Linked DNA regions of Caenorhabditis elegans. The protein of the gene in region 2 interacts with the protein of the main gene of each other region in a pairwise test. Each region holds a gene or a part of one and is shown on either strand. Other genes may lie near its edges.

Region 1 (5,174 bases), on a different chromosome or scaffold from region 2:
TTTCGACGCCGCAGATTCCGCAAGCGAGAAATGATGAAGTTGACATCTGAATTAAATTAGATTTTATTTTATGAAAAAAAAAATTTTATAAAGAGAATAAATGGTCTTCTACCAGGATCTCTTACCAAAATGCATCATCCATTTTTTTTTCAAAAACCCGAAAATAAAAGTTCTTATTCTGAAATTTTCTGGCCCGAAAAACCAAAACCTCTGGTGTTTTTCGATTTTGAAAAATATAAGTGACGAGTTCAAAGAAGGGTTCATTTCTACGGAATGATCTCGACACGCGCGCCGAATTAATTATGAAAATTTGGTGTCACTACAGTAACCTTAAAGGTACACACATACATACACAAATTTTTCAAAATTATATCTGCGAGACCACTCAGCACACCCTCATTTGAAATCGTACAAATGGAAAATAAAATAATTTTTAAAAGTTTTCCAATGAAAACTAAACAGATAAGAAATTTGGATTTTCAACCAAAATGGAAAACTTAAATTTTAAAACCTTGAGTAAAATTAACATAATTTTATATTAACAACAACAAAACAAAAATGTCTTAAAAATCGCCAAAACAACCAAAAAGTGGTCCCCGAAGGGTATTTTTGAGAGTTTTTAACGTAAAATTGAAGGTAACAAGAAAAGTTCAACAAAAATTCAAAAAGCAACAACAAAATTAAATATAAATTTAAAAAAAAATCATCTAATCACTGTCCTCCTCCTCCTCTTCATCATCCTCTTCTTGTTCCTCCTCATCAATTTCTTCATCCGAATCTTCATCATTTCTTCGTTTTTTGCTCTTTGGCTCATCATCATCATCACTATCTGAATCGTTTTTCGGTCCAACTAATCCATCGAAAAATCCTTCAGTTTTTCTCATTTTCTTCGATTTTGCATCCTGAGCTCTAAGAATCGGAATCTCATCGATAATTGGTCCCATATCCCATTTTTTGATTGTACAGCTCATTGAGATCATTGTAAAAACTGTTGATTTGTCAGTTGAAATCTGAAAAAAATGGAATATAATTGGATGTTTTTTGAGGTACGAAATTTTAATGTTATTTGTAGAACTTGTAGTTTTATTCTTTCAAAACACTGAATTTTTAAAAATTCTTGAAAAATAAATTTTCAAAAAAAAATTTTAATGAAAATTTGTCCATTTCCATTGTATAAAACCGAAAATGTGAAAATTCCGAATAAAAAATTGTTAAATTTTAATAATTTACTGTAATTTGTTTTTTTTTTTGGAAAGAAATTCGGTTATTTCAAATTTGCTCAATTTCTCCAAAATACATAGAATTTTTTAAAAGCAATTCCCTTACCGTAATAGCATCAATACCATCATCATCACTCTTCTCATCACCATGATATCCAGCATATCCTAATCTTTTCGATGGTTGAACATTCAATAATCTCATTCGATTACTTCCTTGACTTGTTAATCCCAATAAACCACTTCTCAATTCAACAATTCCATTTACACCCATTTCAAAACCACTTTCAACTCTTTCCAACAAATTTCCATATTCATTTAAATTAAATACTTCAACATATCCATCTTCTCCTCCAACATATACCGATCGATTTGTTCCACAAACTGAATAGAGCTCCGAGTGCATTAGTTCACTTCTCATCTGCAAAATTAATGAAAATTAGAAGGAAGGTTGCATTGAGGTTACTGTAGTTTACGGTGGACAATTTGATGATCTCACTTTAAACTATTGAAAAAGGGACGAAAATTGAAAAAAAAAACGAAAAAAATTCAAAATGTTCATATTTTCCTGAAATTCAGATTTTTCGAAAAATCGACAGTTTTCGTTTTTGAAGTATATATTTTTTCAACAAAAAAAATCGAGAAATTTTCGATGTGACTACATCTGTTAAAATTTTTAGAGATTAAAAAAAAATGTTTTAGTGATTTTTTTTTCAATTTCGCGATACAATTTTTCGACATTTTCTCGCTAGACTTTTTTTATATTTTTTTCCTAAAAATAAAGCTATAAAAATGTTTTAATGTTCATAATTTACGGCAAATTTCTCAATAAATTTATTCGGAAAATGAAGAAATATCAAAACTAGAAATTTGCGCCGGAATTCCAAAAAAACCTGATCCTTGAATTTTTTTCAAAATTGAAAAAAAGTCATTAAAAATTTTGGAAATCTTTTTTTTTTTGAAAATCGAAAAATCTAAAATGTTTCTTGATTTTTTGGAATAATCCAATCCATAAATTCCTATAATTTCTATTTTAAACGAAGTTTTCATATCTTCTCACCGAAATATATATTTTAAAGCGCTTTTTTTGAGAAAAAGATTAAAATACTCAATTTTTTACCTTAAGCTTTGCCTTTCTAAGATCGTAAGCTCCAAGTGTACCATCTGAAGAAGTTGCCAATAAATTTGATTTCACATCAACTTTCAAATCATTAATATCTTCATCTTGTTCCTGCCATTTTCTAATATTCGCATTTTCCGATGCAACTTCTGGATCCAAATTCCATGTTTTCACTTCTCCCGATTCATCAGCTGTAGCCAATTGTTGAGATTTTAGAGCAGTTGGTGGAAGTGTACAAATGGCAGTTGGTACAGAACGATGACATTTTAGAATACAACGAACACTGAAAAAAATAGAGTTTTTTAAATCAGAAGGATTGTCGGTTTTCGACTAAAAAAAATGCATTTTTGCTAAAAAACATTTTTTTAAATTATGATTTTTCAGAAAATCGGATTTGATATTTTCAAAGATATCGAAAAATCAAAAAAAAATCATAATTTTCTAGTATTTCCCGATAATTTTTTTCGACAAAAAATCCTATTTCGATTTCAGCTGTAAAAAATAATTTTAAAATAGAAAACATTTTCGATCTCAGAAAAATTGTATTTTATTTTCTCGAATTTTTTGTCCGATTTTTTAAAATTATTATTGGAATTTCCGAAAATTTGATCGAAATTTTTTTTCCAGTAAAAAACAATGTTACTGAGATTTTTTTGAATCGAGAATATCAATAAAAAATTATGCTAAACATGGAAATTTTTTGCGTTTTTTCAAAAATTTAACTAATTTTCAAATAATTACCGTTTTCCCGTGTCAATATCAAAAACACAGAGAGATCGATTCTTTGTAACGGCATAAACTCGTTTCTTGTGTTCATCAAGATCAACTCCTCGAATACTGCTTTTTGTCTGAAATTTCCAGATTTCTTGAAACTCTTCCTCGTGTTGTTGGGTGTCATAGAATCGAATACTTCCATCCACAAATCCAACGACAAGGCGACTTCCATCTTTGTTAGATTTCATACAAAGTGGTGGATTATCAAATTCGACGAGCATCTGAAGTTATTTCTATTTTTGGAATACATGAATTTATACGAATATATTTTTAAAAACTGTTTAAAAATATATAAAATTGAAATGAATTTTTTCTTCAATTTTATCCCAAAAAAAAATTCCGATAGCATAATTGTTTTTGAATAAAAAAAAACAGAAAAATCGATAATTTAACACTTTTCTAATTTTTTAAAAGAAAAATGTCTAAAAAATTGAGAAAAATGCTTCGAATTGTACAACAGAGAAAAATTGAACAAGAAAACCAAGAAATTTCGCCTGAAAAAACCGACAAAATTCACAAATATTTTTTGAATTTTTGTTGAAAAATGGAAAAATCAGGAAAGCTATTTTCTTGGTTTTTAGATTTTTTTTCGTTTTTGTGAAAACACAACATTTTCTGTTTTTTTTTAACTTTAAAATATATAAATACGATTTTCAATGAAAAACGCCAAGAATATAAGCCAAAAAATGAAAAAAGCAATAAAAACATGAATAATCTTTTCATAAGGGTGAAAAATCCGTTTGAAATTGTATAAAAACCGATGAAAACATAAAATACTGAATGAAATACGACGGGCGACGATGATGAGAACACCCGAAAATACGGAAAAAAATAAGACATAGAATAACAAGAGAAAAACATATAATACAATCAAAGAAAAAAATCAACTAAAATTCAAAATCTAGCGGTGGCGGTCCTGACCGGTGTGTGGGGGGAAATAAGGTTGCTTAGAAAATGTTTAAAGCAACAAAAAAACATAGAATGAGAGTAATAAGAGATAAAAATAAATTAATACACTAAGAAAAAGTATAAAAATAAATTTAAAAAAACTGAAGAAAAATTTTTGGGGTTAGTAAAACTGAAATTGGCTAAAATCTGAATTAGGATGATTCATTAAAAATGAATGGAAAACATAATATGAAAAGTTTTTTTTGGAATGAAAAAGAAAGGGAGAATAAAAGCCATATTGAGAAAAAAGGGTGAATTGCTTGAAATCTAATTAATCAAATTTCGGAGGAGTCGCCGGTCGTGGTTTTTGTAGTTTTTCTTTCTTGAAATCCGAATAAAGTTGAGTTAGTGTGTCGTTTTTGTCGGAGCACACTGCTCGGAATTCCGATAAGAGATAATCTTGGAACTTCTCAGAACATTGACTGAAAATTTAAAAATTATTGGGGAAATTTTTTAAAAATAGTTTTTATAATTTGCGAAATTCGACTAATCGTAAAAATAGGAAATTTTCATTTTATTGGTAACTTATCCATTTTCTGTAGAATTTTTGTCCAAATATTTTCTATAAATACCTAATATCCGAGTCGTTCTTTTTTTTGAAAATTGAAAACCGAGTGCGTCAGTTTTTTAAAAACATTTTTTTCCGAAAGCGAAAGGCTTTTTATTTTGGAATTTTTTGACTGCGAAAAATATTTCGGTTTTTTCCGTTTTATTTTTTTTCGTGTTTAGATTTTTTTCAAAATCGAAAGCGCATTTTATGTGACTTTATTGTAATTTCAATTAAAATGAATATCCAAAAATAATGAAAATTTGACTTTTTCTGTGAATTTTCAAAATTTTTCAAAACGTAGTAAAATCAAAAAAATTGATTTTAAAATTTTCGTTTATAACGACTTAAAAAAAATTTCGTTTGTTTTGTTTTCTGAAAATCGAATTTTTTTTACTTTTTGGAAAAGTTGAAATTTAAAAAATAATCTCTACATTCTGCATTTTTTTCAGTCAATTTCTCGTTTTTTCGTTTTTCAAAAAAAAAAGCAGTTTCTGATAAATTTTCGATTTTCTCTGAACAACAAAGAAAATTCCTGGCTTAGAATAATTTAACTTTTTTTTCTATA
Region 2 (5,065 bases):
TTTTCTCCTTTTTTTTACTTTATTTTAATATTCTATCAATAAATAAATAATTGACCTTAATTCATTCCGAAAATCGAGCCCGTAAATCGGCACAAGCGCTACAGTAGCCATTTAAAGAATTACTGTAGTTACTGTGGTTTTCGCTACGAGATATTTTGCGCGTCAAATATGTTGCACAATACGCGTTCTCAGAATTCAGTTTTCTCGTAATATGTTTCCTCTATTAAGTTCATTTGATTTTTTCAGAATGATGGAATGTGCCGAAAGTCGTCATGGCCGAAAACTATTCAGCGATCAAGAAAATATTGTTGCTCAAATGGCACCAGAGATGGATTGGGTATCTTTAAAATGTATTGTAATTTGTAATAATTGAAATTCAGGCTCCATGGATTTTAATCAATGGAACTCGATACAAAGAAGCCGAGGAAGATTTGTGGCAATTCCTTTGTGATCGATTCATCGATCCTCGACCAATTCATTGTCCAAAGAAAATCGTATACTAGACATTGAAAGTGCTTGTAAATAAAGATGTTTTCCAATTATCACGGGAATCTTTTCATTCTACACGAACATGATTATTTGATATCTGCATCCTACATCAAACAAGTAAATGGCACAAGAAAAAAGAAAAAAAAAGCAGGCTAATAATCGAGTAAGAAATGGATTGAAAAATGCAATCGTTATCTAAAATATGCTCTAAAAACAGGAGGCACCTTCAAGAAAAAAAACAGGTTTAGAGTGTTGAAAACGGGGGAATGTCTACATCAAGGGATAATTGGGCACCTAATAAAATTAACCAGATGAAACATGATACTTTACTTAAGTTGGGCGAGCATTGCAGATGGGTGTTCGAGGTAGAACTTCCAGCGATTGCTGAAGCGAGCCATTGTAGCTCCGTCCACAACTCGGTGATCTGCGCACCACGAAACTTTCATGATGTTCACAGGGATGACCTAAATAAATATTTGTTATCAACACGTCTCACAAATTTTGAAAAATATTTTCTTACATTGTCATGTTTATCGAATCGTGGGAGTTTTTCGATTTTTCCAATTGCTCCAATAGCCACTTGTGGTGGGAAGACAACTGGAGAGGCGTAGGTTCCACCGATCTTTAATTTTTTTTTACTAATATTAAGTAATTGAAAAAAGAAAACTTACATTTCCAATATTGCTCAATGAGAAAGTTCCATCAATCAAATCTTCTCTCTTAATTTGCTGTTTCTTTCCAGCCTCCAGAAGACGATTGAGCTCTTGAGCAATTTCAAAGATACTTCTTTGCTCACAGTTTTTGATATTCGGTACAACAAGCCCTCCTGGTGTGTCCATGGCGAGACAAATATTGTGAGAAGCCTGAAATTATTTTTCAAAATAGACAAATTCGAAGATTAATTATTTTTTAAAAGTAAACGTGTGAATTTCATCAGTATACCTTATGTATAACATTTTCCATTTTCTCATCAGTTGTAGAATTCAAAGATGGGTATTCGAGAAGAGCTAAAGAAGCAGCTTTGATGAAGAATGGCATGTAGCTCAATTTGATATGACGCTCTTTCGCGAATTCTTTCAGTTCAGCACGATATTTGACCAGAGAATCTACATTAATCTCATCGTTGTACCCAAAGTGTGGAATTTTGAGAGCTTCAGTCATCGTTTTGACCATCGCTCGAGTGTATCCACGAATCGGAACAGCAACATCTTCTTTGAGAGGTTCATACTAAAATAGTTGATTTGTAATTGAAACCACTTTAAAAAAATTTACCGATTTCGAAGATGGTTGTGGAGCTTGATGGGTAGTACGAATATTTGTAGATCCAGAGGTATGGTCTATAAATAAATAACATTAAAAGTTTCAAAAAGTTCTTCGTAAAAATTACCAGCCGGCACTTGTCCCAGGAACTTGAGAACGTCTTCTTTGAGAACTCTTCCGTCTTTTCCAGTTCCGCGAACTTCAGCTAGCTTGATCTTGTTTTCAATGGCAATTCTACGAACTGCTGGTGTGGCAAGAACTTTTCCTTCTGAATGAGCAGATTCTGGAGCTTTTGGCGCTGACGACTTCGGAGCTTCTGGCGATGATGAAGCAGCTTCCTTCTTCGGTTCTGAAAAAAAAACACTAGTAGAAAACAAAACACAATTTTAATTAGAAACAGAGAAGTCAGACTTCCCCTTGGGAAATCAAGTAAAATGCATTTTGTTCAGTTCTTGAAGTAGATTAAATTTCGAATCACAGATAAAATTGGCAATTATAGCTGATAGCATTTTCAAAGAAAAACTATTGCGAGATTATAACTGATAGGGAATTTCGATAAGAACATTAGAACGCATAAAAAACATACGTTCGGGTTCTTCCACGTTTCCCTCTATCTCAACATCAATGAGAGCCTGTCCAACTCGAGCCATTCCATCAACCTCATGATATCTGTAAACTTTTCTGCATTTTCAGATAAAAATGACATTTCAAGGAAAAACAGGAAAAAATTTCTTTTCAGTAATTTTTGATTTTTTGATTGCATTTTCTCCGTCATCTCCACAAAAAGCTTTATCTCTCAGCTTCACTGGTGATCAGTGATATTGTGATTGTCAATCAAGAACAGAGAAGAGACGCAGAGTAACCTGTGCAAACCGAGACGCCACGTGCCTTGTTACTTTTTACAATGTATATTAAAAAGAATTGAAACGACCAGATAGCAGGGAAACTGAAATTTTCGAATTTAGGAAGAAACTTACAATTTTTTGACAATCCCGTCGTATCTACAGGAGATGGTTACTGCTGCTTTATCACTTTGCACTTCACAGACTTTATCGAACTGCGAAATCGTATCTCCTTCTTTCACGTACCTGGAAGTTTAAAACAGTTTTGTGGAAAAATTATAAAATTCACTGGCTTTCATGCGAAACTACATCTACAGTATGACTTACCATTCCTTAACCTGAACTTCGGCAATTCCTTCTCCAATATCCGATAATTTGAATTGAACAACCGGCATAAAAGCGACTGAAACTTCGAAAATATTATATTAAAATAGATTTTTTAAACCAACCTTTAGATGTGTGAAGATGCTTATTTAATTTAAAAATTCTAGACGACGTTCCCAGGAGTCGTGCGGCCATCATTTTCGTCGGTTATTCTTACCAGTTTCTTCTTCTACAATTTTTGCGTTTACGAAATTAAAATTTATGAGAAATGACTGAGGAAAATAAAAAGGAAAATAAAAAAAAGGAAAATCCGTGGAAGCTGTGAGAAAATGAATAAAATGACAACAACGCGTCAAGGACGCATGCTGGCGCAAAGTGTCTTTGCGCATTTCTCGTGTAAACTGGCGGTTTTTCAAATTCGAATTCCAAGAAATCGCACTCTATCACGTTATGGTGCATCATGGTGCATTTTATGAAACTGTTTATTTAATTCAGAATTTCGGAAAAGCATATATATTTTTTCAGAAATTCAAAAGGTTTATTTCGTGATTTCATAAAAGAGAAAATAAAAAGAGATCAAAACCGTAACGCCCAATTTGTTTCAAAAAATTAATACCTCAAGAAACTGTGATTTTTCGTAGTTCAATAGAAAAAACAAAATATCTAAACTCAAAAACAATACTACATCAGTGTGCATTTATCTTTTTTAAGTGCGGGAGCCGAAGTTGTTGTCGCCGTGGGAACCGGTTCAACCCAAGCTTCAACTGTAGTAGATGGTGGTGACGTTGATGTAGAATTTACAGACGAAGACTGTTTTCTGAAACGCTGAAAAAATGTTGAAGGAATTATTCAGTTTATATAGTATTCAGAATTTTAGAATTTTAGAAATTTTCATTACAGATTGGATAATTGGAGAAGGTCTGAAAACTGTCAAATGAAAATATAGCTATTTAAGAGAAGAACGTTTAAATAAATAATTTGAAAAGTAATAGAGTCAAACCTCTCATTCGCGTTTAAATCTTTCTTCTGTCGTGTCAATTTCTCGATGAGGTAGGCAAATGGATGCATAACATTGAATTCTTTCAGTGCTGACACTCTGAAATTATTTTTTTATAATTTTTTTATTAAAAATCATCTGCAAACCTATAAAGTCTCTTATGTTTTTTCCTCATTTCTCCTTCAACTAATCCTTTATCCATTTGACTATCTTCCACAATATCTATTTTATTTTCTATGAACACAAGGGGAATTCTCTCTGTCGATTTTTGAATTTCATTGTATAATTCTAAAGTGTATTCGAAACTCTGAAATTATTTATTTATTTGATTTGCCAGCTTCAATCGAAATAACTCACATATACATCAGTTGTAGAAAAAACAAGAGCAATTGCATCGTGCTCTTTTGACATTCCTTCTTCCCATTTTTGTGAAACAGTTGCTTCAATTAAAACCTTCTCATCATCAACAGTAAGAGAAGTCCAAATACTTTCATTATCTCCTTCTGTGCAAAATGATCGGAGCAACGTCTTTTTACCAACCTGAATACATTTTTTTTTTCATTAAATGATTCTTAGAGTTACAGCCGTTGAAGAACAATTTTTAACATCAAAACTCAATTTTATCCACTCTGTGAGCTTAATGGGAAATTTTAAGTAGCCCTACTCATACTTTTTGAATAAAAATAAATATTTTGACTGCCACTACTCAAAATATGATACATTTTTTTAGAAACCTTTGTCAGAAAAATTCTAATAGAGAGTACATAACTAATTTAGTAAATTTAAAAACTAGAGACATTTAAATTTAAATTTTTAAAGATTTTAATTTAAAAAAATACCGATTTGCCTCCGAAAATAAGAAATTTGAAAACTCGATCATAAGAAGTTGGATCGGGAGCCATTCCTCTGAAAAACATAAGCTCATCCATTTTTCATTTGGACTGATGATGTTATCACCAATAATTCATATTGCAGGATAAAACATAGAAAAAGACAAAAATTATTGGAAAAAAAGAGTATATGGATAAAGTTAGAAATAGAGAAAACTCAATATACAAATCGGAAGTCATTTTTTCTTTTTTGGTAGCACTTTGAAATGTAGTATGAAAATATGAAAAAGAAGAAGAGAGTGAAATAGGAAATGTGTAATATA

Evidence for each region. The genes of interacting proteins can lie anywhere in the genome.
Region 1: the proteins of dbt-1 (region 2) and Y44F5A.1 interact in a two-hybrid assay, tested with the Caenorhabditis elegans proteins (one large-scale study listed by BioGRID).

The regions. Positions count from the first base shown.
Region 1 is NC_003281.10:4,244,340-4,249,513, forward strand, and holds Y44F5A.1 (WD repeat-containing protein 55), read right to left. Parts: upstream 3,333-5,174; coding exon 3,079-3,332; intron 2,621-3,078; coding exon 2,338-2,620; intron 1,639-2,337; coding exon 1,327-1,638; intron 1,011-1,326; coding exon 708-1,010; 3' UTR 519-707; downstream 1-518. Other genes in the region: zhit-2 (HIT-type domain-containing protein), read right to left, coding at 1-46; depd-5 (DEP domain-containing protein), read right to left, coding at 4,331-4,481.
Region 2 is NC_003280.10:7,942,063-7,947,127, forward strand, and holds dbt-1 (Lipoamide acyltransferase component of branched-chain alpha-keto acid dehydrogenase complex, mitochondrial), read right to left. Parts: upstream 3,145-5,065; 5' UTR 3,114-3,144; coding exon 3,041-3,113; intron 2,995-3,040; coding exon 2,919-2,994; intron 2,838-2,918; coding exon 2,727-2,837; intron 2,419-2,726; coding exon 2,336-2,418; intron 2,099-2,335; coding exon 1,877-2,098; intron 1,827-1,876; coding exon 1,762-1,826; intron 1,717-1,761; coding exon 1,432-1,716; intron 1,353-1,431; coding exon 1,161-1,352; intron 1,112-1,160; coding exon 1,010-1,111; intron 954-1,009; coding exon 816-953; 3' UTR 540-815; downstream 1-539. Other genes in the region: GILT-like protein ZK669.3, read left to right, coding at 247-337, 381-503; ZK669.5 (GTP-binding protein Rhes), read right to left, coding at 3,597-3,732, 3,916-4,011, 4,059-4,219, 4,270-4,452, 4,752-4,814. UniProt on the Caenorhabditis elegans protein: The branched-chain alpha-keto dehydrogenase complex catalyzes the overall conversion of alpha-keto acids to acyl-CoA and CO(2).